Linked DNA regions of Caenorhabditis elegans. The protein of the gene in region 1 interacts with the protein of each later gene in a biochemical or structural test. Each region holds a gene or a part of one and is shown on either strand. Other genes may lie near its edges.

Region 1 (16,187 bases):
GGAGCAGAAAACGGCACTAAGTTCGGAGCAAAATTGAGCCCAGGACGGCTTTCCCCAGTTTGAAAAATTTTTTTGTTGCTCTTTTTACCCCCAAAAAACCATGTTTTAATTGAATTAAAATTCGGGTTTTGCTCGGTTTTGTTCCAAATTTCTGTGCAAGATACTACTCAGAGAGACTGATTTTTTGAAAAAAAGTTTGAGTTTATAAGTGCAAATGGAAAAAAGTTGTGATAAAACAAAAGTCCAAAAAGTGACATTTTGCCAAAAAAATTTTTTTTCGTAAAAAGCCGTTTTTCGTCTTTATCTCAAGTTCTACTTTATCTTTTTTGATATTTTTTTGCTTACCCCGAGTAAAAAAGTACGCTGAACACGATTTTTAACTCAGAGTTGAGAAAAGTTCTATGAGTCGGCCGAGCAAGACGAATAAGTGCAAAATTTTGCACACTTTCCCATTTTTGCGAATCTACTTTTTCAATCATAACTCGGTCAGTTTTCAAGTTTTCTTAGTTTTCTAAAAAATGCGTAGGTCTCATCAAGACGCATCGAGACATATAAAATTTGTAAAAAGTTCAGTGGGAAAATTTTTCAAGAAAAAAATAATTCAAAAATTTTGTACTGGGGGGAGTGGTTTCCTGGGTCCCCTGAACATTTTTTCCACTAAAGTTTCGCGGAATATATTTTTAATTCATAGTTTTTGATTTTATCTAATGGAAGATGAAGTTTCGTGGCGTTAGCAATGCTCTGCCAAGAGATATTATTTTTTTTAATTTTCAGGCCAAAACTTGTTTTCTTCTATACATCTGTCTGTGTACAAGATATAGCCCTCAACTGTACGTCTCCTTTTCGGGAATTCAATAATGAGTACAATCCTGTAATAAAATTTTCAAAAATTAGGTTTCCCGCTGGCTTATCAGTGATAAACGGTTTTCGAACGTCTTTCCCTAAATAGTCATATTTGAAGAAAGCGGAATCGAAAGACGACTTCCTCCAGAAAATTTTCTTCCCTACATCCCAGTTTGAGATGTCTTCCGCATGGCCGAGTGGTTAGTGCGTATGATTGCAGAAATTTTGGTAGTTGGTTCAATTCTACCAAGTGACAAATTTTTTTGTTTTTTGTGAGTAATCGGGATTCGAATAGAAATACTCAATTTTATACAAAATATGGGTACGTCTCCCCTAATATAAAGCCTCCTCAAACTTCAATCAATCAAAACTCAGCTTTAACTGATTCATCGGGTGCGTCTGTTTTTGGTCAAACCGAACTCAAAAAACAAGAAGACTCCCATTGACCTACTGAAATTTTGACGAACCCTCTAACAGGTTCGAGGCGAAGCCGAGAGCCTACGCCCGGCAAGGGGACTCGCCTTACACCCCCTACAACTGGCGGGCCCGCAGGGCCCGCTAGTCGTTGAAATTTAGAAATTAGATCCTACGGTTTTTGCCGAAAAACTCGGAAAAATTATCTTAAAATTTACAAAAAAAAAGAATTATCAAATTTTAATGAATTTTCTGAAAAAAAGAAGAATAAATATGTTTTTTAGATTGGTGAGTTTTTAGAGAAAGACTTTTTAAAAAAGTTTTAGATCACTTTTAATAATTTTTTTTTTAATTTAAAAAACCGAAAAACGGAAATTATTGAAAATTTGTAATTTTTTCAGGAAATCGGAAAATCAAAAGTCGGAAAAAAATAGAAAATTTCAAATTCTCCGATTTTTTGAAAAAAAAACTATCACAAAACAGAAATTTTGACCAAAAACACAAAACAATCGAATTTCTCAAAACGATGGTAATGCTTCACTAAAAATAAAAAAATAAAAATAAATATTGAAGAATATTTTTGGAAAAATTAGAAATCCTATTTGGCAAATAATTTTCGCGCCGAAAAAGTACAAAAAATATTATTTTTACCAACGTCTCTTTCATCTTCAAATTCCAACATTTTCAGAGCGCCGAGCAATGGAAATCCCGTCCAGAACGCCAGCCAGCTGTGCAGCAACGACGAACCAGTGCGAACGTTCTTCAGGATCTTCCGATCTTCCAGCGTGCTCAGCAGTTACATCAGCAACAACAACGGCCACAATCATTTCCAGTTGTGCAGGAGAAACGTGAGATTCACAAGCACATACTCATTGAAATTGATAATTTTCAGCATGCGACATCACTAGTGGGCTCAAGAAGTTCTTCGGAAGCAATCCAACTACATCCGGAGCATCTTCTTCATTACCGAAAATTTCTGAAATTACTGCTTCGAATGATATTGACTTGGATGCGATATCTTCAAAAGCAACACCAGTGTTAGTGTATCAAAAAAAATGTTTTAAACTTTAATATACTGGATTTTTTCAGCTTAAAAACAGTGACTCGACCTCGTGCTCCAAATCGAAAGAAATCCGACAAATCATCGACATTCGATGAAAGAATCCGTTTGGACGCTGTCAAAATCGACGAAGAAGCATTTGCAGTTGTAGAGGAAGAACCTGAGAAGCTGGAGACTCAGGAGCAGGCAATTGCAGCAATTCAGGGAGCAAAACAACTTTTGAAAAGCCCAACAAAAGTGTCTCCGTATCCAGATGTAATGTTAATTCAAGTTCGAGGATCGAAGAATGTCGATGTGAGACTTGTAGCACCCGCGATGTCTTCTGTTCATGAAGTTGCATGTTTTGTGGTTGTACATCAGAAGCATCTCATGAAGTATGAAGGATTGTACAGTAATATTCTGGAGAAAACTAAAGCATCACAATTGTGCATTGAAATTCTTGGAAAATCAGATTTGAATTGCACTGCAGAATCGATTGTAACAGTGACAGGAGCTAGTAGAAGTACCCTGTCGAAGCTCTTGTTTTGCTCTGAAAATTCTGAATCCTCAAGTGAGAATAATAATTATCATCAAGCATCATCAGTGGAGCCATTCGAAACAACAGTTGCCAAATTGAATTTAGTACTTCGAATCGCCGGCGATAACACTGCTGAAACATGTTCACGTCGGGAACGGCTCTCCTATGAAATCATGAAACCAAGTGAAGTGCTCATTTTTGATTTTGGAAGTGAAATCTACGTTTGGACGGGTAGATATTCGAATAAAGTTAGCTCAGCTTACGCTCAAGAATATGCGAAACAACTTATGAAGAAGCCTGTTAAAAATGGGAAATTTATTCTAGGAGATGCAGAATCTATTGATCAAGATGGACGACCAGAATGGACGCTTTCAAGAAAAATTCATCAGGGAGTTCTGGTGAGTGTCTAAAATTTCTGAAAAAAAAAAACATTCCTATTAATTTCAGGACACTCTGTTCAAAGCAAAATTCTCGGATTGGCCTGAAACTCGTGAAGTCTTGACAACTTGTAAACCTAGAGCCTTGATCTCGAAGAAGAATCCGGAAGTGAAGACGTATGAAGATGTGAAGGTCGTGAATCAAGATGATGAAGTGGCTGATCTTGTGGAACGAATGCTCCAGGAGCAAGAATTGGATCCAATTTTAGTTCTAGAAGATCAAGAGATTGATAGAAAAATTCATGATGTAATCAGCGAGGATCGATCACTTTGGGTGCTCCGAGGAGAAGTTCTGCAGAGTATCGAAGAATTTACGGAGCATTTTGATTCAAGACGATGCTATGTTCTTCGTTGGAAATACAGAATTCAAAAGTCAGGAGTACGGAGGATTAAAACGGGAAAAGAAGAAGAACGGGAAACTGGTAGATCAAGAATCGCATTCTGGTATTGGCTCGGCGAGCACACAACTCCAAAACAACATGGTCTTTGTGCTCTACGAATTAAGGAAATTGATAGAGATAATAGTCCAAGAATCCGAATTGCTGATGGAAATGAGCCTGCGTTATTCTTGGCACTTTTCGATGGAAAATTCATGGTTAGCAGTGATATTTCGGAGATGAAGCCGCTCCGACGATACGTGGTTATTGGCGCGAACTCCCGGGAAACTAGTCTTCGAGAAATTGATGATTTGAATTCGCCGCTTCGATCTCATGCTGCTTATATTGAAGTGGAAAAAGACATTCTTGGCCCATCAAGTGTAGTGTGTGGAGCAAATTGCACTGAAGACCAAGTGCATTTTGTGTTGGCACACGCTGAATATATGAGGCAGAAGGCAGGAGTGAAGGGAAATTCTGCAGAAATTGAGGTAGAAGGTGATAAAAAGTCGCGGAGCTGGGTGAATTCAAATGGAAGAAAACGGGCGATGCGAGTTTGGAGATTATTTGATAATGAGTCGGAGCAAGTAAATCATTTGAGTGGGCATAAGAATTGTGCATTCACTTTTTCACAACAGGTTTGTGAATTTCAATCTATTTTCAAATTCTGCGATTTTTGACTAAAAATACGGTACACGGTCTCGACACGACGCTGAATACAGAAGGGTATGCGCCTTTAAAGAGTACTGTAGTTTCAAATTTTTGTTGCTACGAAATTTTTTAAATCGATTTTTCATAGTTTTTTCTCAATTTGGAAAAATCAATTTTTTTAATTGTTAAAACATGTTTTTATTGAACAACTTTTAAAAGAAATCGATGAAAATTCCGCAGCAACAAAAGTTTAATTTTACAGTACTCTTTAAACGCGCACATTTTTTGCAGCTAACTAAAATGTATCGTGTCGAGACCGGGTACCGTATTTTTGGCGAAAAATTTAGCTTCTGGGTTATATTCGTTTTTTTAGCGAATTTTGTCGTTTTCGCTTCATTTTTCAGATTAATTTTTTGAACTCAACTTTCAAAAAATTTTCCATTTAAAAAAGTTGAAATGTGGTTTGAAAACTGATTTGAATCAATTTTATCACACAAATGAAACGAAAGCGACAAAATTCGCTGAAAAAATGAAGACATTTATTTAAAACTGCAAAGAAAAAAACTACCATAAACTTTTTCTCGCGTCGAGACGCATTCAAACAAATTCGTGCGCCTTTAAGAAGGCATGCCAAAATCTGGTCAAATTACGATATTGATTTGTGATTTTTCAGGTCCTGAAAGAAACCATTCTAATTGATGTTGGAGACGCTCTTTGGTTATGGTCAGAAGAAGTTATTACTACATTTGCACTGAAAGTCGCTGAAAAATACTGGAAAGATCGCAGCGGACCAGCAAAAGTTGTGTACAAAGGAGCAGAACCTGAGCAGTTTAAAGGACTTTTTATGAAATGGGAGATGTTCGAAGTTGAAGATGACAAGCCCTCGGATCCACCACGCGATGTTTCGGATCTTCTCAAAGAACGTTGTAGAACATTTTCACTCGAAGAACTGAAAGAACGAACAAGTCTTCCAGCTGGAATGGACATGAGACGTCTGGAGAGCTACTTGACTGACGACGATTTTATGAAAGTTTTTAAAATTGAAAGAAGCGAATTTTATGCTCAAAAAACTTGGAAACAGAACGATGCACGGAAAAGAGTTGGACTATTCTGAACATATTTTTTATTTATATTGACTCACTAGAGGCGGTGAAACCGTCATTACTGTATTATCACCTTGCCATTTTATCTCCTGTATAGATTGCCTGATAAATAAAAGCGTGTAATGTTTAACTGGATTTCGATTACTACATACTAAACAGATAATATAGCATGAAGAGCAATATCTGAATAGAAAAAAGAAACTTTAAAGTAAATGTAATGCATGATTCAGTGAATAAATATGGAAAAATTGCTATGGAGCATTCGTAAGTGTACAACTTCGGCTTATCCAAATCCATTTTCCGCTTCTTTCTGACCTACAACAGTGACGCCTTCAAAATAAAATTTAAAGTGATAATCGTCTTTATTTTTGACGAGAATAAAATATATTGCAATAAAACTATAGTACATGTGATCACTTGTGAATAATAATATTTGACATGGAATTATAAACTTAAGACGAGCGGGATGGGTGAGTATTTTACAAGTTAATCAATATAAATTTATATTATTTACAGCATGCATTCGTCGAAACTTCCGACATCGGATTCCAAATGCGGCTGCCAATCCGAATCCTCGAAGTCGGCGGATACGTCGTGGTCACTTTCCCGGCTCACACGATCAGTGTCGATTTCCGGGCCATTCGGACATTCGCTGCAGATCTCGTCGATGCTCTTTTTGATGCTCTGGATGCGCTCTCGAAGTTGCCTAGCGAGTCCTTGTTCTGGCCCATTCTGGTTGGCAAGTGCACGCTGAATGGCATTTTCCACACGATCCAATCCCAGAATGGCGCTCCTCGCATCATCAGAAACATTGGCTTGATCTAGGTTGATGGTCGAACTGCTTGGTTCAGATGACATTTCCTCTGACGAATGAACGACATATGTGTTGCAAAGGGGATTCTGAGTTGATTGTTCGGGCTTTCCGTGGTCTTGCTCAGCGTCTTCCGAGTCGACATAGGCCAGCTGGTAGAAATCTCTGTTCAATGATTTGCACAGAATTTCATTAGTTTCCTCTCGACTCTAAAAAAATAAGATTTTAGTTCAATAAAATTATATACTCAAGAAATTTACCTTGTTCAACGTTGTCATAATTACAGCATTATCAAGTAGAATCGATGAAGTGTTGTTGAAGACTGCAGCTGGCACAGCGACTGTGTTGGAGTCACAATATCTCAATGGAACCAAGCTGTACTCGTCGTCACTTCCGTCCTCATTGATTGCAGGATTCTTCGGCGTGCTGGTGTAAAGTGGTGTGAACGGCTGTAAAACAACAAAATTAGCATAAAGTTGTTAAAATAAATATTCTCACCCGTGGCTGACGATCTTCCGGAGTGTTATCCAATTCGAATCGGACTGCTTTCAACACACGAGGAGGGAGTTTGAATCCTTTCGATGGATGTGGAGTGTATTTATGATCCTCAGGAAGCTCATCTTGTGCTGGAGTAGTTCGATGCTTCCAATACGAAATCTCGTCGTCATCCCACCAAAACTCGTCGTTTTTCATTGACGACACAGACTCGCGAGTCTTTTTTTCAACAAACTTCTCCATTCCGTCGACGTCGTTGTTCCGGAAGCACTTCATTATTTCATCGACAGTTTCTTTGTCCTGTTTCTTCTTCAAGTCCTTCTCAGTCTGACGCCATACAAACCAGCTGAATGGCCGGAAGAACGAGACGCCTTGTACGTCAGAAGTGTGTGGAGATGCCATAGAATGCCAGGAGCTCGATAATGAAGTCGATTTCATTGTTCGAAATGATGAATCGGAAGTGCTCTGCCCTGAGCAGTAGGACAGAGCATCTTCTCCGATCATCACTCCGGCGTCTTGTCGAACCATTTGGAATCGAACGGCTGCAAGAGAAAATATAATTGGGAAAAAAGGAAGGAAAAGTGGAAAAAGGAAATTGAATAAATAAATTTTCGAAAAAATTAAGTTTAAGCTTCGAAAATTAATCCTAAAAAAGAGAAAAATGTGATTCAAAAAGGCTAAAAGTGAAATGAGAATACGAAAATACGAAAATACGCGCCTTTCATTGCACAGGTCTCGGCGCGACTTTACCTCCGGAAAATTTGGCACATGCGTCTTTAAAAGAGTACTGTAGTTTCCTTCAATATTTGCGACAATGAAAAATCGATTTAAAATCGAAAATCTTCCCAATTTGTTTTAAAAAATTATAAGAAATTACATGAGCTCAGAACATTTTTCTTTGGTATTTTTTCATTTCTAGTTGAAATCCAGTTAAGTTGCTAAAATTTAATCCCGTATTTTGTTGATTTTCCAGTAATTTATTTCTAGAAATAAATCAAATGTGTTTTAAACTCTGAAATTTCAACAGAAAAAACAAATAATCATGCGAGTATTCGAAGAATCGCATAAACTCCGAAACTTTAATTTTTTTAAGTTCATTGCCCGAGAGGAGAACACGGCCGAGAATCTGAAAAATCATTTGCACGCGGAATTCAAATTAGATCCTCAGGAAGCTCATCTTGTGCTGGAGTAGTTCGATGCTTCCAATACGAAATCTCGTCGTCATCCCACCAAAACTCGTCGTTTTTCATTGACGACACAGACTCGCGAGTCTTTTTTTCAACAAACTTCTCCATTCCGTCGACGTCGTTGTTCCGGAAGCACTTCATTATTTCATCGACAGTTTCTTTGTCCTGTTTCTTCTTCAAGTCCTTCTCAGTCTGACGCCATACAAACCAGCTGAATGGCCGGAAGAACGAGACGCCTTGTACGTCAGAAGTGTGTGGAGATGCCATAGAATGCCAGGAGCTCGATAATGAAGTCGATTTCATTGTTCGAAATGATGAATCGGAAGTGCTCTGCCCTGAGCAGTAGGACAGAGCATCTTCTCCGATCATCACTCCGGCGTCTTGTCGAACCATTTGGAATCGAACGGCTGCAAGAGAAAATATAATTGGGAAAAAAGGAAGGAAAAGTGGAAAAAGGAAATTGAATAAATAAATTTTCGAAAAAATTAAGTTTAAGCTTCGAAAATTAATCCTAAAAAAGAGAAAAATGTGATTCAAAAAGGCTAAAAGTGAAATGAGAATACGAAAATACGAAAATACGCGCCTTTCATTGCACAGGTCTCGGCGCGACTTTACCTCCGGAAAATTTGGCACATGCGTCTTTAAAAGAGTACTGTAGTTTCCTTCAATATTTGCGACAATGAAAAATCGATTTAAAATCGAAAATCTTCCCAATTTGTTTTAAAAAATTATAAGAAATTACATGAGCTCAGAACATTTTTCTTTGGTATTTTTTCATTTCTAGTTGAAATCCAGTTAAGTTGCTAAAATTTAATCCCGTATTTTGTTGATTTTCCAGTAATTTATTTCTAGAAATAAATCAAATGTGTTTTAAACTCTGAAATTTCAACAGAAAAAACAAATAATCATGCGAGTATTCGAAGAATCGCATAAACTCCGAAACTTTAATTTTTTTAAGTTCATTGCCCGAGAGGAGAACACGGCCGAGAATCTGAAAAATCATTTGCACGCGGAATTCAAATTAGATCGAGGAAAAGAGTAGTATTTGGAACTTTGTACATCATAACATCTTTCTGGGAGACTTTTGTGATGTTTCCCTTATGCACATTGCCTTGTTAGATCATATAAAAAGCTTTTGAGCAGAGTCTCAAATATTACTACATCACCTTTACATTTTGGAACCTTTAATTTTTCAATGGAAGTTTGTCTTCTCAACAAATAAGACAACAGAAGAACACATAAAACTTTATTGATAATGAAATGTCTAGTTCCAATCACTTGTTTCTCTTCGATGCCTTTGCTTTCTTATGTGTACTCATTTTGGATCCGAGTTTCGATTGTGCAGTTTTTGCATCTCCACTATTAGCTCCACCACTTCCTGGCTGTTTCGGCTTACCAAGCATCTTGTTCTTGACTTTTGCATTCTTCTGAAATGCAATATTGAAAATTAAAATTAAATTTTCCTATTCCCAAGTACCTGCTTCTTATTATCATCCGTCTTCTCTTCCCGTGCCTTCTTGAGTGGTACGTCCTTGGCGAAGAAGTCCACCAACTCTGCCATGATCAAATTATTGCCACCAGGAACTCCGGCTCTCCCGAATGACGCCAAAAGATACTTCTGAATGGTGGATTCATCATCCATGCGGGATAACTCCTTTGGGCGAGCTGAAAATTTATTTTTTTTTAAATATTTTGAAAATTATTTATTAGACACTACAAACTTACCAGTTTCTCCCAATTCAGCAACCAAAGCATTGATTCTGGCAACATCGTATTTCATGGGTCCCGACAATTTTCCATTGATCTCCGTCAACTTGGCATAGAGAATGTCGTAGATCTTCATGTAATCCGGACGATCAGCATATTGCACAGAATTGAGATATTCAACAAGTGGAAGGAATGAGCTAAGAAATGAATCTTTTGAAAGATATTCATTCAAATGATCTTCTTTCAAAGCTTCAATCCGTTCTGGAATATTCGAGGATGTCCATGGAAGTGGTGCATACATCTCCATTAACATGAAGAACCATGACCAAAGATCATCAACACGAGAAAGTTCCTTTCGTTTGTGCATGTTCAGAGAACAATATCTCACTGTCCCACGGAACTGCGCCTGAAATTTTTAAATGTTAAAACTCGAAAAAATCTTCCATGAAAAACTAACCGGATTTCTCGGACGTCGCAATTGCCATTTATTACCGGAATCCTTCGTCGCATATTTTCTAGCCATTCCATAATCAAACAAATAAACATGAAGAGAATTTGGGTTGAAATCAACGGCGAAATTACATGGCTTTAGATCACGATGAATATAGGTGTATTCGTGCATTGTTTTGATAGCAAGAAGAGTTCGAATGCATACACGGATGATGGTATCTTGATTGAAATTATTGTTCATCTGGAATTAATGAGTTAAAGATTCAGCGTTGATCTCTGAACTTTCTAATTTATACATCTCATGAGTTAAAGTCATTTTTCTTTTCTTCAGTCAAATTATAAGTATAGGTCTAGGAAGCTCTAGGAATTAGATCTAGGAAGATTAGAGAAGCTCCACAACTAAAATCTTACCAATTCGGCAATTTTCTGCAGATCCGGACCACACAATGTCATTACAATGTATCTATAATCCTTGTAAATGCCATCGTCATAGATATGAATTGCAGTTGGCTCGTGTTGCATTGCCACCATGATCTCTCTTTCAATCTTCAGTAAATTGTCTCCGGCAGTCATTCTCTCAATCTAAAAATTGTTCTTATTTTCATATCTGCTCTCTGCTCTTCTAAAACATACCTTGAGTGCAGCTTCTTGTTTTGTGGACTTGTTTGAAACATGGTACACAGTACCAAATGCACCTCTACCCAACTCGCGAATTGTGAGCCACGCAAGTTTCCCGCTCTTTTCCTCTACAACCTCCTGAAAAACATTTTCGTAACAATTTTGAAACTACTCGTAAGTCCTTAAATAAACTTAGGTTGGCCTTAAAAGCTCGGCCACCAACTTTTTCGCGGCCCCAGTCGCCACATGGTGTGACGTCACTCATATCGTGGAAGGCCATTTTGCCTTCAGAAAACACGCGCACCTTAAAGTCAGGATAATTCGAGAATACCGTACCTCACCAATATTCAACCGAATACTTTCCACTTGTCTATCCGGTTTATCGTCTTCTTCACTCATGACAACAGCTTCTTATCGATTTTAACTGCTTGGAATTTCAAAATTATGAACTAAACTTCAGAAATGACGATTTTCGAGTAGAGAAAAACACGAGATTTTTGAATTGCCCTTTTCGAACAAAAATTAAAAAATTGATTTTAAAAATTAGAGCACGTGAAATTCTTTTTTTTTTTCATAAATTTTAATGAATCAGCACTCAATTTGAAACTTCCACGCAAGCAAAAACATACCTAAATACCTACTTGCCTACAAAATACCTATTTCACTGTGCAGCAGGCAAAGATCAAGGTCTGCTCTACGATTTTCCACTTAGAAAACTAACGCCTTTTTTATTTCAATAAATTATTTTATTCGACTCCCAACTTCAAATAATGGCTAAATTTGAAAATATTCTCGACCAAAAAATCGACTAGGTCTGCCAGCTTTCGCAATACCGTACCCAATTAAATGCAGACGCGCCCCAATGCACAGCGCGTAATATTGAATTTTAATTTTTGCCCGCCAATTCTCACGTGTATTCAGCTCGACCAACGCCTCGAAAATTTTCAAAAAAGACGGGAAAAAATATTTGAATTCCCCAAGAGGAATTTCAGAGACCCGAAGAACTCGGGGGATGTCCAATTGGGGGGATTACCAACTAGGGGGATTGGCCCCGCCCACAGAACCGTGCCTTACAATACGCCCATTTCTGCAACCTCCGCACGGTTTTGAATGATGATTTTCTTCATTGTTTTTTGGGGGAGAAAAATCAATTTCGACTCTAAAAACTTCAATTTGAATTGTTTTTTTCGGTTTTTGAGTCGTTTTCGCGGAATAAAAGTAAAATATTTCAAAAAAATCGATTTTTCGCAGTGAAACAACAATTTACACGGAAAGGGGACGCGTAAAAATCGATTATTTGTTTTTTCGTGTTTTTTTATGTTTTTTTATGTTTTTTCGTCGTTTTTTCTTGTTTTCTTCGTTAATAATTGAATTTAAAATAATATTTTCAGTAAAAGGACTTAAATCGCCGCAAAAATCGACCGCGTGAGCCGCGAAACGGCGGAAAACGTCTAAAAGTGAGTTGTTTTACTAAATATTGTAAGGATCTTCTGGTTCCCACCTCTCCAATATAAGAGCATTACTTCAGTCTAGTTTTCCAGGTCCAGCAAGTGCCGTCGTAGCGAATGCATGTCTGCATTCGGTATGGAGAAAAACATGTTTGTTCGATAATATATGGAGAAAAACATGTTTGTTCGGAATTAGAAAGATTTGAGACTCAAGCTCGCGTATTTCATATTTATTTTTTCGATTTTAGCGAAAACTCAACACATTTTCGATCATTTTTGAACAAAAAAATTGTTTTCTGAAAAATTTGACGCTTAATTTTTTTGAAACTGCACTCAAATATGAAGAAAAGCATGATTAACCAGAAAAAGTAACATTTGAGACCCAAGCTCGCGTATTTCATATTTATTTTTTCGATTTTAGCGAAAAATCAACACTTTTTCGATCATTTTTGAACAAAAAATTGTTTTCTCAAAAATTTGACGCTTATTTTTTTTGAAACTGCACTCAAATATAAAGAAAAACATGCTTGTTCTGAATTAGTAAGAATTGCGACTCAAGCTCGCGTATCTCATATTTATTTGTTCGATTTCAGTGGAAAATCGACACATTTTTGGGAAAATTTTTTTTTTTCGAAATATTCGCTCCTAATTTTTAATGATTTCCAGATGACACGCCGGTTCACACCACATTCTACTGAGGAGATCGCTTCAAATAACCGAAACCATCCCGACATTGGCTCCATCGAACCCCGAGTGACCCTGGAACTCGTCGAAATTGAAGAAGGAATCGATGAGGGAGAAGTTCTCTATAGCATACTACGAAGACTCTAGACGAACTGTTAAGACTGAGAGTTTATATGGACAAGAAGAAGCACTTAAAGAAGCACCGTGTGTAGGAAAGCGAAAAACGGGTTATTCGAAGACGTACGATTGTCAAGGGGCAACAGGATGCTGAGGAGACAGAGGTGAAGGAAATTCGAGAGAATGCTACTCGTAAGCAAGGTGCTACTACTGGACAAGTTGAAGAAGTTGAAAATCAGACGGAGAAGGATAGAGAGATTGTGATGAATCGGGAGAGGTACAGATTTCAATAATTTAATGCTTCTAATTTGATATATTTTCAGAAATCTGAAGCGTGCCAACGAGGAATGGGGAACAACTGAAGCCTCGAAGCGTCCAAGATATGAGGATAGTCGTGGTGTTTTCCGAGGTGGATTCAGAGGAAGAAGAGAAGCTCGTGGTGGCTTCCGTAGAAGTGACGACCGAGGAGGATTCAGAGGACGTGACGGAGGTGGTGGCTTCCGTGGTGGGCAAGGTGGAGATTGAGGCGGTTTCCGTGGTCGTCGTCAATTCTAATATCAGTTGTTGTTTTGCAATTTATTGGTTTTCTGCGTTCTCCATTTTTATTATTATGTTCGTTTTTGTTATTGTTATAATCATGAATATATCAGACTGTTTAACCCGAATTCAGAACTAGGAATTTAGCAGAAAATCGCAGGAAAAATTTGGGACTTAATAATTATTGCGTTTTGCGTTAAAATATCACATTTGCACGTAAATTGTGACACTTGCGGTTTGGCGGCACGGCTCTCTATATTATTCATTCATTTTATCAACAAACTTCTATCGCCCTAACGTCGATCAAAAAAGCTCATCAGCAACTGCCGTCGAGTGGAGACCCGAAGAACTCGGGGGATGTCCAACTGGGGGATTCCCAACTCGGGGGATTGGCCACGCCCACAGAACCGTGCCTTACAATACGCCCATTTCTGCAACCTCCGCACGGTTTTGAATGATGATTTTTTTCATCGTTTTTTGGGGGAGAAAAATCAATTTCGACTCTAAAAAGTTCAATTTGAATTGTTTTTTTCGGTTTTTGAGTCGTTTTCGCGGAATAAAAGAAAAATATTTTTAAAAAATCGATTTTTCGCAGTGAAACAACAATTTACACGGAAAGGGGACGCGTAAAAATCGATTATTTGCAAGGAAAGAACAATTTACACGAGAGGAGACGAAGTAAAGAACGTAGAACGAGTTCTATTTAAAAAATTCGAATAAGATAACCTGAAAAATTGCCATGAAATGTTTTTCAGAGCCGGCGGAAATTGTTCAATGAAATAATTGTACAAATTGGTTTGCAAGCTATTCATTGAACATTAAGAGCGATATTTTATTGATCATGATAATTATTTACAGATAAGGATAATATTACATTTAATGAATTACATAATTTCAACAAAAAAAACAATAATTTGTCATGAAAACGGAAGAATTTGGAGGATGAGCAGCTCGGGCGGATCTGAAAAATTTAAATTAGAACTTTCATAATGACATCGCTGATATATAAATGAAAAAAGATTTTATCTCGTCTATTATCAGATTCGCTTAGTTTTTAGAGGCCTTTGGCTTAAATGAATGCTACAGGTACACTTTTCTCTTAATGGATACGGAAAAGTGAACAAAAATCAAATTTCTAGCGTCTTTTCCACCATACCAATTACAAAATTCTACACAATTCAATTGAGAAGTCTACGGTTTGGAGTTTTAACGTTCACAGAGACGTACAATCGAAAAGAACATGGTTATTGCGAAGAAGAACTGATCGCCCGCCACTATACAGAAATTCCGACTTCAAAAGAGCAGTGACAGCAAATTATAGCTGTTTCAACGATTTCAATGCCTGTATAAGTCCATCTATGTTCGATCCGAAGATATTTCATTAATTTTTTGTTAAACTATTTCAATTTTTGTTCTTAAATCAATTTTTTTTCCTACTTTCTACAATTTGAGAATATAATACTCACGTAGGTGGACTGGAGAAGCACATCCTTGTTTCATCCGTGCAATTTTGATGGTCCCTCGATTCGACGAAGTCTAGAAATTAAAAAAATTAATAAAATATGAGAGGGAAAGAGATTAACAAAAGGAATACACGAATTAAGGAGGGCGAATTAACAAGTCACGGTTGAAAAATACTTTTTTTTGCGAAAATGGCTGAAAAAACGAAGAAAAACAATTCAAATTGAAGTTTTTAGAGTCGAAATTGATTTTTCTCCCCCAAAAAACAATGAAGAAAATCATCATTCAAAACCGTGCGGAGGTTGCAGAAATGGGCGTATTGTAAGGCACGGTTCTGTGGGCGTGGCCAATCCCCCGAGTTGGGAATCCCCCCAGTTGGACATCCCCCGAGTTCTTCGGGTCTCGTCGAGTGAAATGCGATAGAATTTGTCTGTGAAAAACCAAATATCGATTTTCCTTGAATATCGTGAAGAACAAATCTTCATACTTACGATTCTTCACAAATTCGATGAAAATCTGATAGTTTTTTCAATTTTAGCTCTATAATTCCGAAAAAAATCTTCTGTTAATTTTCGCGAAATGTCGTCAATTAAAATGCGCGCTGTGCAGTACGCAACGGTGTACGAAAGTTTACACTGAGTATTCAACGTTGAGCACGCAGTCAGCCAAATTGGAATACGGTAGAGAATCCTCGTCCATGTACCCCCCGCCGGGCCGTGGGTCGAGCTGAATACACGTGATTCTCCTACGCAAGGACTATAAAAGTGAGCTGTCACTCTCATTTTTCTTCTTTTTTCATAAAATTTAGTTCATTCACTTTATCGTTGCTTGTCTTTTTGTGATATTAAGACTTCCTGCGCTTATATTTTCATCTTGCCAGTGCTTTAGTGTTAGATTCATATAAATTTTCTGGCCTTCACTTTCAGATTTTTCACATTATCCAAAAATACATGTACACTGAATTCCTGAGTAAATAATTCTTTATGATTTATTTTTCTTTTTAATGGTTTTCCCTGTGTTCGCGGAATATTTTGTTTTGAAACCTAGTGAAGTAAGCGCGCTCTATAGAAACGCGCGAAATTGGCCGTTCAAACTAAGTATTGCATAATTTTAGCTCCATTTTCGACATCATATCAGTTTTTTACTAAATTTTTCTGTTAAAAAGTTAAAATTTATGTTTCAGTGTTTCTAAAATATGTAACACATCTTGTCTCTCTGGAATCTGTTGATAAACGCTAATTATTCACCTTCCCTTTCTTTCCTTCATTTTTCT
Region 2 (16,187 bases), on another chromosome or scaffold:
GGATAAATCTAACTTATCATGTTTGAAAGTAAGCTAAAAGTTAAAAAGGTGTGCTCTGGAAAACCTTGAAGTAATCACAGTTAATTTTTGGTGTGCCCATCAGGAACCTCGCAACATTGGACAATATAAGCATTGAACACTACCTTGAGAGTGAATGAGATTTATGTCAACTTTGTTTTCTATCGAAAATTGGAGTTTGGAAAAATTCGGCTTATCTTGCAGCTTGGAGAAGTGCCGAGAAAGTGCATAAACTTAAATAGTATTTTTTAATAATTTTCCAAAATTTCTCGCAAGCGCTAATTTTCCTAGTATCAACAACTACGATAATCAAAAAAATGCCCAGGAAGATATTTCTGTTTTTTTTCAGTATTTGACCTTAAAATAAGCTCTAGGTTCACATTTATTTGTGGTCTAAGTAAAAAAAAAACGACAGGCCTGATTTTCACACAGTATCCCCACAAAAAGACCACTCTTGTTAGAGCAAACGAAAAATTTCAAAACATGAAATTTCGAGCAACATGAGAGGTGCTATGCTATTTTGAGAAGATATGATCATTAAAGATGCTGGTAGTGAAAATATTTGATGAGAATATATGTAAATTTATTCTCTATCTAATGCACGTTCTCACGATAAAACCAAGTACATAGTGCGTAATTTATCAAACAACGAGTTTCGGGGTATCTTTCTTGGTTATTTGGGTTTAATCTGTATTTGAAAATTGCACAACAATAATGGAACTCGAATGTTGGCAATTTACCAAACCTTTGACTGGAAATTTAAAAATCTACAATTTGTTAGGTGTCTTTTTATAAGCTTTGGTCATTTTGAAAAAATTAAAGTGTACATCACAGTTAAGCCAATCATTTTGCTGAAAATACTAGTGAAAACTGGAAGAACAAGGTTCTGCTGAAAAAAATGTGTGAAATTACAAAACCACATGACCCATTCATATAGTAAATCCTGAGTACACAGCCGTCTGATATGTCTCAACTAATCCGTTTCACTAATCTTCGGGTCCGAATCAGACTTCTAGTTGATGAAAAAAGAAATGAGATTGAAAGCCTCGAGACGAGAAAAGGTGCTCCTCCTCATCCAGCTCCTGTCGCTTGAATTATGCTTATGTGAGCTCTCACGGAAGTCGTTATTTGATGAGAGGGAGAGAGGATGAACGAATTTGGAGCAAAAAAAAAGAGAAAAGGAGAGTGTTGGAGACCGAGAAGCACGCAATGAATTTCCGTATATCACCTTTGATAGATTTGTGTGTCTTTTTGACTCATTTGATGCTACAAAAGTGAATGTATCGTATTTGATGGACAGGATACTGGCCAGAAAATGAGAAAAAAATTGAAGAACAATTGGATTTTTCTTTTTTCATGACGGTAAACAAAAACAAAAGGAATTTTCTATTAAAAAAAGTGAGGGTTTTCCAGAGATATTTATTTACTGGATCTTTGGTAAAAACTCGCTTTAAATTGCCAAGTTAGAATCGTTTTAGTACGAATGTGTGAGTTTCAGCTAAGATGGGGAACAATCTTTAATTTTTAAAAAATATTTATTTAAAATATTTTTGAAATTAACTAGTTGGAAACTTTTTTGGAAAGAAGAATCAAGCTTAGCTTTGGAGATGATAGAGATATTGGTACTAGTCCTAAATCACCCCGCCACTTTTTTTCTTTTTTTTTCAAATAAAAACGTGTGGAGTTTTTGTATTTTTAGGCTTAGGAAATAACCATTTCTAAGCCTAAAGATGGAAAATGGACATCACGTTTTATTAAAATGGATAATATTAAAATGAGGGGAAATAATACACAAATAAAAAAAAAAGTGGCGGGGTGATTCAGGACTAGTACCGAGATTTTTTAAAATTAATTCAACTATGTGCATCTTCAAAAAATTGTCAAAAAGAATACCTACCGTGGCGTCCTTCGCCTGGTAAGTAGGCAGGCATGATGATGTCACGGAGGCATGGAAAGTGCCTGCCACGATATTATTGCGTACGTTTTTAACATTTCTACTTTTTGGCGAGAGCCTTTACTGAGAAACCTTACATTTTATCATTTTACATGCTTGAAAAAATGCCAAAATATCGCCTACATTAGACTTTCATTTTGAATTTGCATGAAGCATGACCAGTTGTTAGGAGCAACTGATGGTAACCAGAATAGAGAAAAAGGTACTCTCCGTGACTTTTCAATGATATTTTTATATCAGAGCCAAATCATACAAGTGGTATCACAAATCAAAATCTGTTTGGATAAGTTTTGATGTCACTTGACTACTCCCCTGTCTAACTGTTGTTGAAGTGGCGTGTAACTTGAAAGCATATCCGACACACAAAAAGGACAAGACAAGATACACTTTTCTCATTCGTGCAACAATCTAGCAAAGATGACAAATATCGAAATGTGGATTTGCAAAATGGTACAATGTATGTTGATTAAAGATCTATTACAGTGAAAGAGCAAAGTACATGGAAAGTGTCGACTGGCGAGAGGGATGGTTTACGAACAAAAAACAACACATTCCTCGCTCTATTTATATACAAATAGTTCTCAGTTTCTTGAGTGCCCTCCCACGAGATCACTGGATCTCACTGATCTTTTTGAAAACAGTTTCTCACATATCTATGGCACTCTATGCATTAGTCATTGAGAAAGAGAAATAGACGGTCATTACGCGTGACGTTTAGCTCTTGTTTCTTGTTGAAACAGTAATACAGTCTTTGTTAAATTGGTATTTGTAAACAGAGGAGAGTTCAAAAATTTCCTATAATGATGAAATAATAATAATAATAATTTATTACGCTCGCTGGGAGACGTGAAGGAATACAGAATACAAAAGTTATCATTGTTCGCTTGAACTAGAATTGGTGCAGTCGGGCAATCGTTTCCATTCCATTAGAATGTTGTTCTTGTCCTTGCGTTGTCCTTGCGTAGACTCCCCCATAGTGGGCGAGCGATTCCCGAGTGAAATGATCTAACATCACAGTTTTTCTACACGTTTTTTGTTTCAATTACAATTTTCTTTTACGCATTTGAGTATCAGATTTAAACGCGCCTCGCAATTTCTTAAATAAAAGTTACAATTTATTTCTTTAAAAATTTGAAAAACCTAAATATTATTGGAGTGGGTTTCATATTTTTAAAAGGAGAAAAAATATTTTTAAAAAATTAAATCATAAATTCATGTCACCATAATAAAAAATATTTTTCGACGCTTTGAATACTTCAGCGAAATAATCTCTTGAATTAAGCTTTGTGATATTTATTTTTGTCGATGTAGTACATACTCCACAATTTGTCGGCTACCCCTAACTAAGCATATACCGTTTTCCACATTAGCCTTGCTCCCCCTTTCCTCTACGTTAACCGCTTTTATCCCGGTTTTTTAAAAGTGTTATCAGAAAATTGTCAACTCCAGCAACGTCAGGACTTGTTTGGAGTTTGTGTGCCTACTACAGTTTTCTAATCATTTTTCCACTGCTATACACCACTACACCTCAAATTGCAAACATTACGAAATTCCGCCCAATGTTTGGTTGTCATTTCTTTCGAAACGTCGGTCGCTTGCTAATCGTTGGGTATATAAGCAACGTTGACTACTAAAGTTTTCACTTCGGTCCGGAGATTATGGGTTATCAATTTGACAATTTCCTGCCAGCAGGAAGCCCTGGTACCAGGGTTTGGTACCGCTCATGTTAATCTCTCCGTGTTCTTCATAGAATACAAACCCCTTCCCATAATCACCAACTTGACCGTTGTTTTTTGTTAATTTTTTGAATATCAGGGTAAATGTTTTTCAAGTCTTATTGAATAAATATCATGAATCTTTGCAATTATAATTTTTCTCGAAACGTTTTTCCAATTTAATCGGGTTCACATTTTTATAATTAAAAAAAAATGTTATTATGCGAATAGCTAACAAAAATAGAAAAGCAGTGTTTAATTAGAACTTGATACATATAAATAAATGAGAACTTGTAAACTTTTGGAATTTTGCGAAGAAGTGTAAAGCTTGATGACGGAGTACAATGTCGAGCAACAATCAATACATAACGGATCGTTCCATTCTTCGAGATTCGGACATCTGAAATTGAAGTTTTCTTTTTCTTGTAACAAGCAGAATTCAAAAATAAACCCTTTATTTACAACAACACGATTTTTCAGCTTGTTATAATTATGTTTTTTTTTTTGCTTGAAAAGAAAATTCGAAGCAGACAATATAAAGCTTTACCAAAAAGTTGGTGGGGGCGGACAAGGAAACATTCAATTATTCAACCCTATTATTTATGAACAAGATTTTGTGAATGAGGGGATGGGGCAGAAAGAAAAATCAATCAAAAAAAAAAGAATCATGCACAACACAACGAAAGAAGAAAAAAGCAAGTTTTCGTAGATCTGAGACAAAATTTCAGAATTTGGAACTTGAATCAACGAGCACTTATTAATACAAGAACGATAAGCGGTTTTCAGTCAGTGCTGCAAAGAGATGCTCTTAAGAGTTGAATCCGAGTGCATTCATTAGTTTATTCTTCAATCCAGTTTGAGATGTGCTCGTTGTCATCGAGTTTCTGGATCCACCGATTGTAGAAGCCATCATCGACTGGCTCATTTCATCGATTCCGCCCATCGCTCCACTTCGTAATGGCTCATGCTGAAAGAGGAAACAATACTGAAAAGAGGAAACGAGTGACCAAATTCTAAAGCACATCACTATCACTAAAATACAAAAATAAGCGTTTTATGTGTTTTTTTTTGTTACTGGAATTGTTATTGATGGGGGCTTGGGGAGGACAAGAATATGCTTCGTATTAAATTTAAACTTTAATTTTAAAAAACAATTCGTTTGAATGAGCTTCAGATTTGTGCAATATTTCAGTATTTGCCAATTTTGGTTCAAAAGTTGGCAAGACATTGTTCAGGCAGCATCTAATTTTCGGGTTAGTTTGAAACATAGTTTTGGTCAAAATTTTATTGTCGAATTTTTGATGTGTGCGGCAATTTTCGAAATTTACCGTGTCCGGCAAGTTCGGCAACCGGCAAATTCGGCAAATTTGACGCACTCCCCTGGTTTGAAACAACTGTTGTCAATGTTTTAAGTTCCAAAAATACATGTAAATATGAAGCAAATTCTTGTCACTGGGGTATCGGGGACGCATACAACATTTTACAACATTAATATCTAACTTCTAAATTTTTTTTCTGAACTTTTGTATTTTAAATGCAGTAAAGCGTGCTAGATAGAGAAGCCATGAATGCAGAAAAAACATCATTACATACCTGTTTCTTTGCTCTCAAGGCGACATCTTCCAATGTTTCGGCGGCTTCATATTTTCCTTGTCGCCGGTAAAGGGCTCCAAGGTTCTTGAGAGTTGTTGTGACGGTTGGACTGGAATCAGTTTTGTTTAATTTATTTTTTTCTAATAAAAATCATAATACCTATCAACTTTGGCGGCTTTTGCCCATCCAGCTTGTTCGTTGGCAGTTGCACCTTCTCCCTTGTGCTTGTTCTCCTCTCGTTCTTCAGCGATTTGCCAAATTGGTTTATTCTCTCCACTGATCTGTCCGAACTCTCTTTCATGAGCTCTGGTGAGAATTTGCTTGTACAACTCCTCAGCCTCCTTATATTTTCCTTGTTTCAAGTAAGCAGATGACAAATTGTTCTTGGTCTTTGCCACATTCGGGTCATCAGGTCCAAGTTTGCTCTCGTAGATTTCGAGAGCTCTCTTGTAATACTTCTCGACTTCTTCATACTTTCCTTGATTTTGGCAAAGAAGAGCAAGATTATTGAGTTGCTTGGCCACATCTGGATGATCATCTCCAAGAACTTTCTCGCGAATTTCAAGAGCACGCTTGCAAAGCGGTTCAGCATCCTTGAACTTTCCACGTTTTCCGAACAAAACTGCGAGATTGTTGAGAGTGGCGGCAACAGCTGGATGACTTTCTCCAAGACATTTCTCACGAATACTGAGAGCCTCATTCAGAAGATTTGCAGCCTCTTTGTACTTGTTCTGATCTCTGTAGACAAGTGCCAAAATATTGAGCATTGTGGCAACATCTGGATGATCGTGACCACTCGTTTTCTCCAAATCTTCCAAAGCTTGCTTGCACAATGGAACTGCAACTTCATAACGACCTTGGGAGGCGTATTGAATGACCAAGTTGTGAAGTGTGCGAAGACGAGCTGGAATTTCGTATCCAACATTAGCAGAAGCCGCCATTTGGTTGGCTGGTGTTGGTTGGTTGAATTGACTAGCATTCATATCTTCTTCGTCTTCTGGTCCAAAACCAAGTTCTTGAAGAGTTTCGTTTGTGACTGGTTGTGGTCCAACATCGACAGATGTCTTAGTATCACTTTGCTGAAAACAAACAAAATAAGTTAAGAATGCTCCTCGAAAAATTCAACTTACAGTTCCATCATCAAATTGTTTGATTGATGCCATATACTTAAGATGCTTGTTCTCCTCTTCCAATTGAGCAACCATTTGCTCCGACTGTTGAAGTTTGATTTGAGTTGAACTCAACTCATCACGAAGCCACGCATTCTCCTGGCACAAGCGTCTCCGTTGAGCTTGGTATTTCTGATGTTGAGCATCCATTCCTTGAGTGAGTTGGAATACCATCAGCATCAACGATGTCTCATCAACTCCGCACACCAACTTATCCAAATTATCGTTAATTTGTGAAAGCTTCTGCTTCGGCAATGGAGCTTCATCTTCTTTCACACCTAAATGATTGAATTTTAGTAAATGTTCAACTCGTCGTAAAAAAAGCCATACCTTTGACACTAGTCTCCAAAGTATTCGAAATTGTCGAGTGTTCCTCACGAAGAGCTTCAAGTCCCTGCTGAACGGTACGTAGGCCCGTCGTCACGTCGTCCTGCGACATGTTTGACATTTTCGCCAGCGACTCGATTTTTCGCCTGAAATTTTAAATCTATTAAATGTAATTGGAAGAAGTTCGAGAAGTGTTGGTAGCTAACGAGAAAATTTTTTCAGTGAGTAAAAACAGTTGAATCTATGTAGATCATAGCTATTAGGTCGTTCAATAAGTTTTGCGATAGTCTTTTTTTTTAATTTCAGATTTATCAGAAAAAATTAACCCTTTTTTTCTTTTAAATGTAAATAATGCCAAAGTATGGCACAACAAAAATTAATTAAAATCTTGCATTCTCTCAAAAACGTAGAACTAGATTCAAAAAATATTTTTCCATGAATACTGCTCACTTTGGAATTCTAAAAAATGCAAAAATTTGAAAATCAGCCTGACAGTTTTATACCATAGATCTATTTGGTGCAAGAATTTGGAAAATCTATTATTTAGGTAAATATTATCCAGTTTCAATTTTATGGCTGAAGTTAAAAAAAACGCCAAAATGAGCTCTCAAAGATTGAGGAGGGCGTCTTAAATAACAGCCCTGCCATTTGCTATTGAAATACAGGAGATCGTGGCGAGACCCCCTGAGAAAATACGCATGTGCCTTTAAAATGACATTCCACATTTTCACAAAATAACGATAAACTTATTTTACACCGAAACGTTGCTTTGAAATAAGTTGAAATAAAGCAAAAATGTTCCAAATGTTCAACACGTTTTAGAGAAAATAAAAATCATCGTGGATTGATATTTTCTTTTAAAAATTTGTAATTTTTATTTACTCGGTTTTTGAAATTTTTAATTTGAAAAAATCAAGGCTGCACTATGCGCTATAATTTTTGAAAATCAATAGCATTTCGTGGTAGAACTAATATATTTCTTTGATTTTGCTAGGTTGAGTTGCACTAGAACAATTTTGGAAAAACTTTTAGAAAACTGAGAAACTTTTTGGAATATGTCAAAGATAAGCTAAATATGTGCAACACTATAGGTACAAATTTCGCAATATAAGCAGAAATGAAACCAAATTTTAACTTTCTAATAATTTCTCTCCTGCAAAAGCTCATAAGAAATGGTTCTGAACATAAAGATGCTAATAAAGTGTGGACAAGTAAAACATAACGTTGTTCGGAAAGAGTGTTTGGTTGTATTAACCGAAAGCCCGCTCTCGTCGTGTCGGCGAATAGACAGCGAGACGTGCGCAGCCACTGATGAGAGATCATAGAAATATTAGAGACAACATAGAAACTATTGATCGTCCGTCCAACATGGAGGAAATGAGAGAGCAAGAGACGGAGGCGAGAAAGAATTGCGAAACAATTGGAAAGATGCATCCTTTCATAGTTAATTGCAATGTTTGGACACCTGAGTTTTTATGAAGAATACATCTAGGATTTGTTTAGCTTCATATGCAAAAAAGTATCGAAATTGCTTTGTTTCTCAAGAGAAAGGTGGGATTTCAGAAAATATAAAAACCAAAAAATAAAACATATTAACATAAACTTCTCATGAATTATTAGAATTTGGGCAAAGAGTTTTGATTCATATATTCACTATTTCTGAAAACTTGTCATAAGATCTTGCAATTTTGAATTAGAGGACTAGGAAAGTAGATTTCGATTTTTATTTTTATTTTACGGTAGATGCAAATTGAAATTTTTTGAAAATTAGGGTATCCGCTTAGAATGTACTGTACATTTTTTGTTACAGCCCTAGCGGAAATAACTTTCAAACATTTTTTGATGAGTAATGCATGTGATAAGAAAATGATTCAACACTCTAAATTCCAATTCTCATTTCAAATTAAAAATATAACTTACTGGCGATATGCCTGAATAGTAGAACCGGCCAAATTCATGATGGTATCCAGCTTGAAAGCTTCCACGAGCACTTTTTCGTATTCGGCTCCAGGATTAGTGTCTTAAACTTTTCAGTTTAGATTTATGATGAACAGAAGAAGGAGTTAAAGAGTTTGAAAAGTTCAGGAAATAGCATTTTATTACGAGGTGCATGTATAAAGCATATATATTTCTACCAAAAAATCAAAGTTTAGGCCTGTTTGTTATAGTTAAAAACGGTTATTTATCTCTAGTGTCAAATATCGAACAATATTTTGGTTCAGCATGTATTACGTAGACGTCTGTAAATGATAATTTTCGCCATATCTTACGCGCAAGGTCTCACCACGCGGGCAAGGAGTTACTGTAGCTCGTGTCGATTTATGAGCCACTATTGCATAATACAGTTATACTCGCTGTTCTCGTGGCGAAACCCTCGACAGAAATGCCCATTTATAAACATCTACATAATAAGGGCATATTAAATTGTTTTTGGGAATCAGAAATTTTCTATTTGGCTCAAATTTGCCCGTGAAGTATGCTCGTAAAGTAAGACCAGCAATTTTGTGAAATTTGGAACTTGTTGTGATCACTATAGCTGAGATCGTGTCGAGACCCACTCAGAAAAAGATCGTGTGCCTTTAAAGCGGGGTTTGACTGTTCACGAAAAAATAATAGACGTCTAAAGAAAACAATTTCCGGCATACTGTGCAACTTACTGTAGCTCGTGCTTCTATTGCACCATGTTTTGAATAAATTTAAATATAATAAAAGAAAAATAAAATGTATTTTTTTAGACGTCTAAGTAAAAATGAATAATATTTTCCATTGAATTGAAATTTTTATGAGTAAATCAGCCTATAAGTCGACCGAACAAGCTTATTTGCAGTTAAAAAAAATTTATTTTCCAAAATTAAATTGACTATTTTTAAATAAACACTTGAACTTTTAAATTTACAGGATATATTTTCTTCAGAAAAACAATTTCAAGGATAAAAAAATCATTTCCACGAATCAATGTGTGCACTCGGTGCAAAAGTGTTCGAAAACTTGGTCTAAAAGTGAAGAAAAAGTGCTGAATAGACCTCGCCTCCTGCCGAAAAGAACATTGTGTGCTGGTGCTGGTGGCGGCAGTGCTTGAAGTGAGGAAACGCACGCCACACAGAGCCGCATGGCCCTCCGATGCCATTGGCTCGATACAAATTCATTTAAGGGCGCTCTTCTTTTCTCTCTTCGCTTGTCAGACAAATGGCACAAGGAATGAAAGAAGAATTGGTGGAAGAAACGAGAGAATTCTATTCAGTTCATTCAGAAGCGGCACACACAATGGTGTCGGGCATTGATTGTGGTTCGCTTGGGAAACATTTTTGGTTTTGCTCGTGATCATAATAAGCAAAACCGCTTGTTAGAAAAACAACTTCCAGTAGATCCGTAAATCCTACTTCCCTTTTTTACCTATTTGTGGATTTTTAAATGAAGAAAAATGTATAAAAATTGTCAAGAGCTCCAATCGAAAAACAAAAAAAGGCAGAAGTGGGTCGAAGAAAAGAGTTGACTGCGACAAAGAAGATTTCAATCTCAATTCGACGAAATTTGAAACTCTTCTCTCTTGCATCACACACACTCCTCCCCTTCTTCTTCTTTTGCTCCCCTTTCTTCGCTGATTTACAATTTGAGTGATGTAGTAGTGTATGGAACACTGAAGAGAAGAACTATGGAATAATGCCGTGGAGCAGCTCGCCGGGGAATAGCGGAAGACGGCGGGTGCGTGGTGTACTACGGCGCAGACATCCATCATTAATGGACAGAAGGCATGGACGCGAATGACGAGAAGTGCTTCCTTTAATGTTCTTTCTGCAACATATACATGACTGTTGAACGGAAAAAGGAAATTAATATGTAATCAATCTTTTGGAGCAGGAAAATAATTTAATTCGGGAACGAGAGGGAGATTAACCGGCGATAAATTATACGGGTCACATAAAAAAGAAATGGAGACGAAAGTAATTCACATGGTCTGTGATTCAAATTAGAATCTACATTTGCATTGGTTCGGCGCCACCTGGAGCTGCTGCTGCTGCTGCTCCGCCAGTTGTGCGTGGATGTGTGGAAACTTGGTTGAGATGAACGGCGACTTGAGCATCTTCGAGAAGACTGAATGGAGAATCTTTCCCGACAATTCCAATAGACGTATTCTGAGCGTTGAGGTTTTCTTCGGCTGGAAGTGTGTCGCGAAGAGCAAGGAGAGCATGGACAATCAATTGTTCCGGAGTTGCTGAAAAAAGAAATTGCTCAATTTTATCAATTATATTCCGAAATAAATACATTTCTCGAAGTTATCAACATTTCTCTCGAGGTAAGTGCGCGCAGACTGAGATCTTGCTCCGATTGAAGTTCCATGCATGCTGACGACTTCAGCAGATGGGTCAGTTTGAATGATGTGTGCTCCATCTTTCTGAACAAAAAAATATTTAAAAGAACAATTATATTTATGATGTTCTTACGTCATATCCGGCAATCAGAATTCCAACTCCGAATGGACGACGGCCATAATATTGTGTATTGGCTTGAAGTTCTGAAATAAGAACAATGTCTTGAGAAAATTGCTTCCAAAATTCGCTTACTCAATTGCATAGATTCAGCGAGCTTCTTGATTGGAACCGCTTGCTTGTAATCCCAACGCCAACTCGAGCACTCGGTTTGGAGGTAGCGAGCCAAGATGCGACCATCGGAGAGGAGACCAGCGATGGAAACTCCAGCGTGAGTGTCAATTTCGTACACTTTCTTCTGATGAGACGACAAATCGTTTTGCGCTCTCTGAAACGAATATAATTAATTGAAATTAACATGTTGTTTCGCCAACCTTCAGGGCGACGATGACAGCGTGGGTTTCACTCTTGATTCCAACAGTTGCCGAACCTTGCTTCATCGCCTCAACGGCATATTCGACTTGGTGAAGACGTCCCTGTGGGCTCCAGACTGTTACATCGCCGTCGTATTGGTTGCGGAACATGGTTCAAACCTAAAAGCTCTTAATTACAATTTATTGAAGTTTTTAGCCATTTTTTGCAGTTTTATAAGCAGAGAGTGTGATTCAAGATGAACCAAGAGTTAGAAAAACATATGGAGTTTATTTAAATCCACAGAAACAAAGAAAAAATATTTAGAAGTCGAAAGAAAACCTCTGAAATGAGTTCTAAATTTGAAAGGATGACAAAATAAGCGAGTACGCATACACCACACTTTACGCGCAATTGCTTACCGTATACCTGGCGGCAAAAAGTGAAAGAAATTTCCAGGCATGGAATTCCATGGAATTATGTAATTCTTCTGGTGAAAACTGCGTAAGATCCTCAAAATAATTTCGAAAAAAAGACACTCAAAATCCACGAAGAGAACTGTGAACAAGTAAATATTACACGAAATTGAACGAAAATTGCGAAAACGTGATTGAAAACGTCGAATTAAATTTTGAATCTAATTTTTGAGGAATTGAATATTTAAAATTTAAAATGTTGTCTACTGATGGTGGTGGCCGATTCCCTGACTTCAATATCTTAGAAATTCCTGTTTAAATCTGGCAAGGCTATACTACAAAGCTCTGTCTTTGAAAATCTCTAGTTTCATTTTTCAATCATGTCTATTGAATAATAAATATCTTTCCTCTCATTCACTTTTCTTACCCACTGACCCACTTTCTCTTGTGACTCTCGACAGTGAAACACCGTACCTAATTAGGCAATTTACCAGTAGTTCATATTCATTCTCGGGAGTACGCAATACCACACGCTCATTGAACTTTGAGAAAGGCGATTTGAAATCGAAATTTATATGTTTTCAAACTATTTTCTTCATGAAGTATGGTACTTAATATATATGTCTTGATATTGCTACTTTATGGTTTGAGTGAGTTTTTAAAAAGTTTTGGATTTGAAATCTTTTTTTCTACCAAATTTTTTCTGTCCTTTTTTATTTAAAAAATCATGAAAATTTGTTAATGGTCGCTCTTGAGGTTATTCAAAATTTAAAATTTAATTTTTGGGATTTTAGAAAAATCGCTCATTTTGTAGGGCTTTTTCTATATTGAAAATTGGAACACGGATTAGAACCATTTTGCGTCTAAAATGTAAAAATGCAAAGTGCGGCACAGAAAAATAGGTGTGGTTTAGAGACAAAAGCGCGGTAATTCAAATCAAAAGTTTAGCTAGATATGACCTTCAAATTAATTCAGATACCAGTTTTGCTTGTCACTCCCTGAGCTCTCAGTACAGTCAATTTTCATCTCGAAGAGCCAGAGCTCGCGGAGTCTCATCCCTACAACGTACAAGTGAAAATGCAATTGACTTTGACTACCTCACATCAAATCTACCGTACTCCGCAACTGAAATTCGTTCGATCTCATCTCTTACCCCATTTCCTGTGAAACCAATGCTAACTGTATCCGACGGTGGAAAGCTTACATGTCATTTTGACGATGATATGGAATATTGTGGATGGCATAATGCAGCGGACACTGACATGAAGTTTTTTTTTTCAATTTTAATAGAATTTCAAAAATTACTATTTTTAGATTCTGGAAATCAAAGTTAAACTCAGATAATAATTTTGACTCGCAAAGATTTGACTCTGGAAGTCCATTGAGTTTCACACCAGGTAAGAGGAACAAATTGTTTCTAAAAATCAATTGAAACATTCCAAAAAGATTGAAAAATTTGAAAATTTCAGCAAAAGTTTTGGTTGATGTTAGTTTGAAAATTCTGTATTTAAAAAAAATCCTAACGCTCATATGATGCCAAAATGGCCAAATATCATAGTAAAACGTTCCAAAAAATTTTTTAGATTTTTTCATTGACATGCAAAAAGTGGCAATCACTTAGATTTTGCCACTTTTTGAGAAAACTATATCGCTGTCGCATGTCCGAACCCCTACAATGTTTGAATAGGAGTATTTTTAATTGGCTCATTTTCCTATTTTCAAAAAATCATTTAAACATTAAAAAAAAAATTTATTATTAACTTTTTAATTGGGTAAAAGTACCAGTTGATTTCAACTAATCATAACAATTCAGACAACAATTTTCTACTGGCTGGCGGCGAACCAATGATTCTTCCACAGACTGCTGCAATTGAAATGGAAATTCCATGTCAATATGGAGATGCTGAAGTGAAATTCGAGTAGGTCTTCGAGTTCACAGCTACGTTGTAAAATCTCGGATCTTTTAATTTAATTTAATTTAATCTTGATAAAGTTAACTTTTAACTAATTCATCTGAAAAAGCAAATAAGAAATAGGATTCTAGTTTTTCGATTTTTAATCCCTATTATATTCTCATTAGAAAACAAAACTTTGAAATTTATGTATCTACATTTGGTAAGTTTCATCACGGATACCATACTTTTTTCAATAAAAATTATTTTTTGAAACCGATAAATCGGAAACTTTATGGTTTTTTAACCGAGATTGCATATCCAATTTAGCTTTTGACCCTTGCAAGATTCATTCTGAAAAACAGAAAAACAGTGATAAAGTGTTCATATCATGAAAGGGTTAACTTTTAACTAGATTTTCCAAAAAAAAACTAACAGAAACCAATTTTAAATCCTTATTGAATTCTCGTTTCAAAAAACCAAAAACAACGGTCAAGTTGGTGTCGATGGGAAGGGTTTGTATTCTGTTAGGAACACGGGTTTGGCATCACAAGGACACCGGGCTCTCCTGCAAGCAGAAGAATGACTGGGTAACCCATCAACTCCGGACCGATGTGAGAGAATGGAGAATCGCAGTTGTTTATATACCCGTTCACGGCCGAGCGGCAAACATGTTCGGGTGAAAGTAAGATATTTTTTCTTGTTACGAAATTTGTCACAATTGCAATCGCTAGCTGTCTCTCTGCATTTCACATGAACATGTCTGCCACTCGGCCGTGAGCGGGTATATAAGCAACGCCAATTCTTCATTCTCTCACATCGGTCCGGAGTTGATGGGTTACCAGATTAATTCTTCTGCTTGCAGGAGAGCCCGGTGTCCTTGTGATGCCAAACCCGTGTTCCTAACAGAATACAACCCCTTCCCATCGACACCAACTTGACCGTTGTTTTGTTCTTTTTCAACGATATTCTAACCGGAAAGATGAACTGATTTCATTTGGTTTCTCAGAAGGACTAGAATAATTTGTAAACTATAACTTTCTCATGATCTATGAAATTTACCACTATAGTACATAGGTTTCTCTGATTGCAAGGAAGGAATTATTTGTGCATTTCACAAGACAAGATTAAACCTGAGGTTTTGAATTTGGAATTTTATAAGGTTTCACATTCCAAATTGCTCAAAAAGGTTGATAATGAATAAAATGAAGATATGTGGTGTCAGAATGTCCCATGTCGGTTTGATCTTCGAAAAGTTGACACATACATCCTAACCAATTTTGCATGGTTAAGAGCGTGCTGACGTCACATTTTTCTGGGAAAAAATTCCCGCATTTTTTTGTAGACCAAGCTGATATGGGACAGCCTGACACCACGTGTGAAGATTGTTCACCTAGTTTGGCGGTTTCCCAAAGTCACGATTAGTGTCGAAACTAAAACGAAACATTTCGGTTGATTACGAAAAGTAACACCCGCAAGATGCAATAATCATCTTGATCCAATGATCCGTGATCAGACAGATCCGTTTGAACTATCTCGTAGTTTCTCAGATTGTGTCGGCCGCTTCATTACTTATTTATACATAAAGACCATAAATTCTCAATATCTTATCATCGGTCCGGTGTTGATGGGTTATTATCCTGTGGTGCTTGTCGTCGCTGATCACATTCACCGTCCTCTACACATCATCACAAATTTGACCGATGTTTTGAATTTTTCACAAAGTGTTATAAGTTTTATACCGTATTTCCTCTATTACAGGGTGGGCCAAAAGTATGGTAACACGTTTGCAGCTCTATAACTTTACTAGTGGAGAGAGTTATTACATCAATTTGTACAAGTTTTGTTCTCCATAAAATACTTACCAGATGAACGTTTTGAATTTTCAAAATATTCCCATCCGCATCGCTGCAGGCCTTCAGAACTTTTGAGATCACGACCTTATGGCACGCAAGTCGGCATTCTGCGGGATTTCTACTTTTTTCTCGAGGAATCCATCAAGTGTCTTACAAGTTTTTATAGTTCAAAGAATGCTCTTGGTCTAGAGATTCTTTAAAAACAAAAATCCAAATAATTTCTATCACGGTATTTCTGTCATGGACTGCGGCAGTAGGTTAAGTCTTGAATGGCATAGTCGCCAGAAAGATGGATGTGAGCGGCGAGTAGCAGTATGCAGAAAAATTCATTTTAGTATTTTTCGAGACGTTTTGACCTGACTTTCCAGAATTTTTTTAGAAAATTGAGCTCGGATGATTTTGTGGGTCGTTACGCCTTGCGAAACCAAAAAAACTGAGTAAATTTCGCAAAGTTGAATTCATGAAATAT

Evidence for each region.
Region 2: the proteins of kca-1 (region 1) and klc-2 form a complex in vitro, tested with the Caenorhabditis elegans proteins (one study listed by BioGRID).

Annotation. Positions count from the first base shown.
Region 1 is NC_003279.8:4,754,075-4,770,261, forward strand, and holds kca-1 (Kinesin Cargo Adaptor), read right to left. Parts: upstream 7,248-16,187; 5' UTR 7,234-7,247; coding exon 6,709-7,233; intron 6,660-6,708; coding exon 6,471-6,659; intron 6,420-6,470; coding exon 5,910-6,419; 3' UTR 5,746-5,909; downstream 1-5,745. Other genes in the region: viln-1 (HP domain-containing protein), read left to right, coding at 1,946-2,105, 2,150-2,294, 2,347-3,232, 3,282-4,283, 4,970-5,410; kin-35 (Protein kinase domain-containing protein), read right to left, coding at 9,167-9,319, 9,370-9,557, 9,618-10,005, 10,057-10,290, 10,461-10,631, 10,683-10,805, 11,004-11,066.
Region 2 is NC_003283.11:5,572,608-5,588,794, forward strand, and holds klc-2 (Kinesin light chain), read right to left. Parts: upstream 6,898-16,187; coding exon 6,780-6,897; intron 6,728-6,779; coding exon 6,411-6,727; intron 6,360-6,410; coding exon 5,440-6,359; intron 5,390-5,439; coding exon 5,281-5,389; intron 4,655-5,280; coding exon 4,496-4,654; 3' UTR 4,130-4,495; downstream 1-4,129. Other genes in the region: pas-6 (Proteasome subunit alpha type-1), read right to left, coding at 10,751-10,989, 11,040-11,169, 11,219-11,289, 11,339-11,531, 11,578-11,727; CD4.11 (MAM domain-containing protein), read left to right, coding at 12,575-12,620, 12,946-13,237, 13,285-13,367, 13,784-13,889. UniProt on the Caenorhabditis elegans protein: Kinesin is a microtubule-associated force-producing protein that may play a role in organelle transport. The light chain may function in coupling of cargo to the heavy chain or in the modulation of its ATPase activity.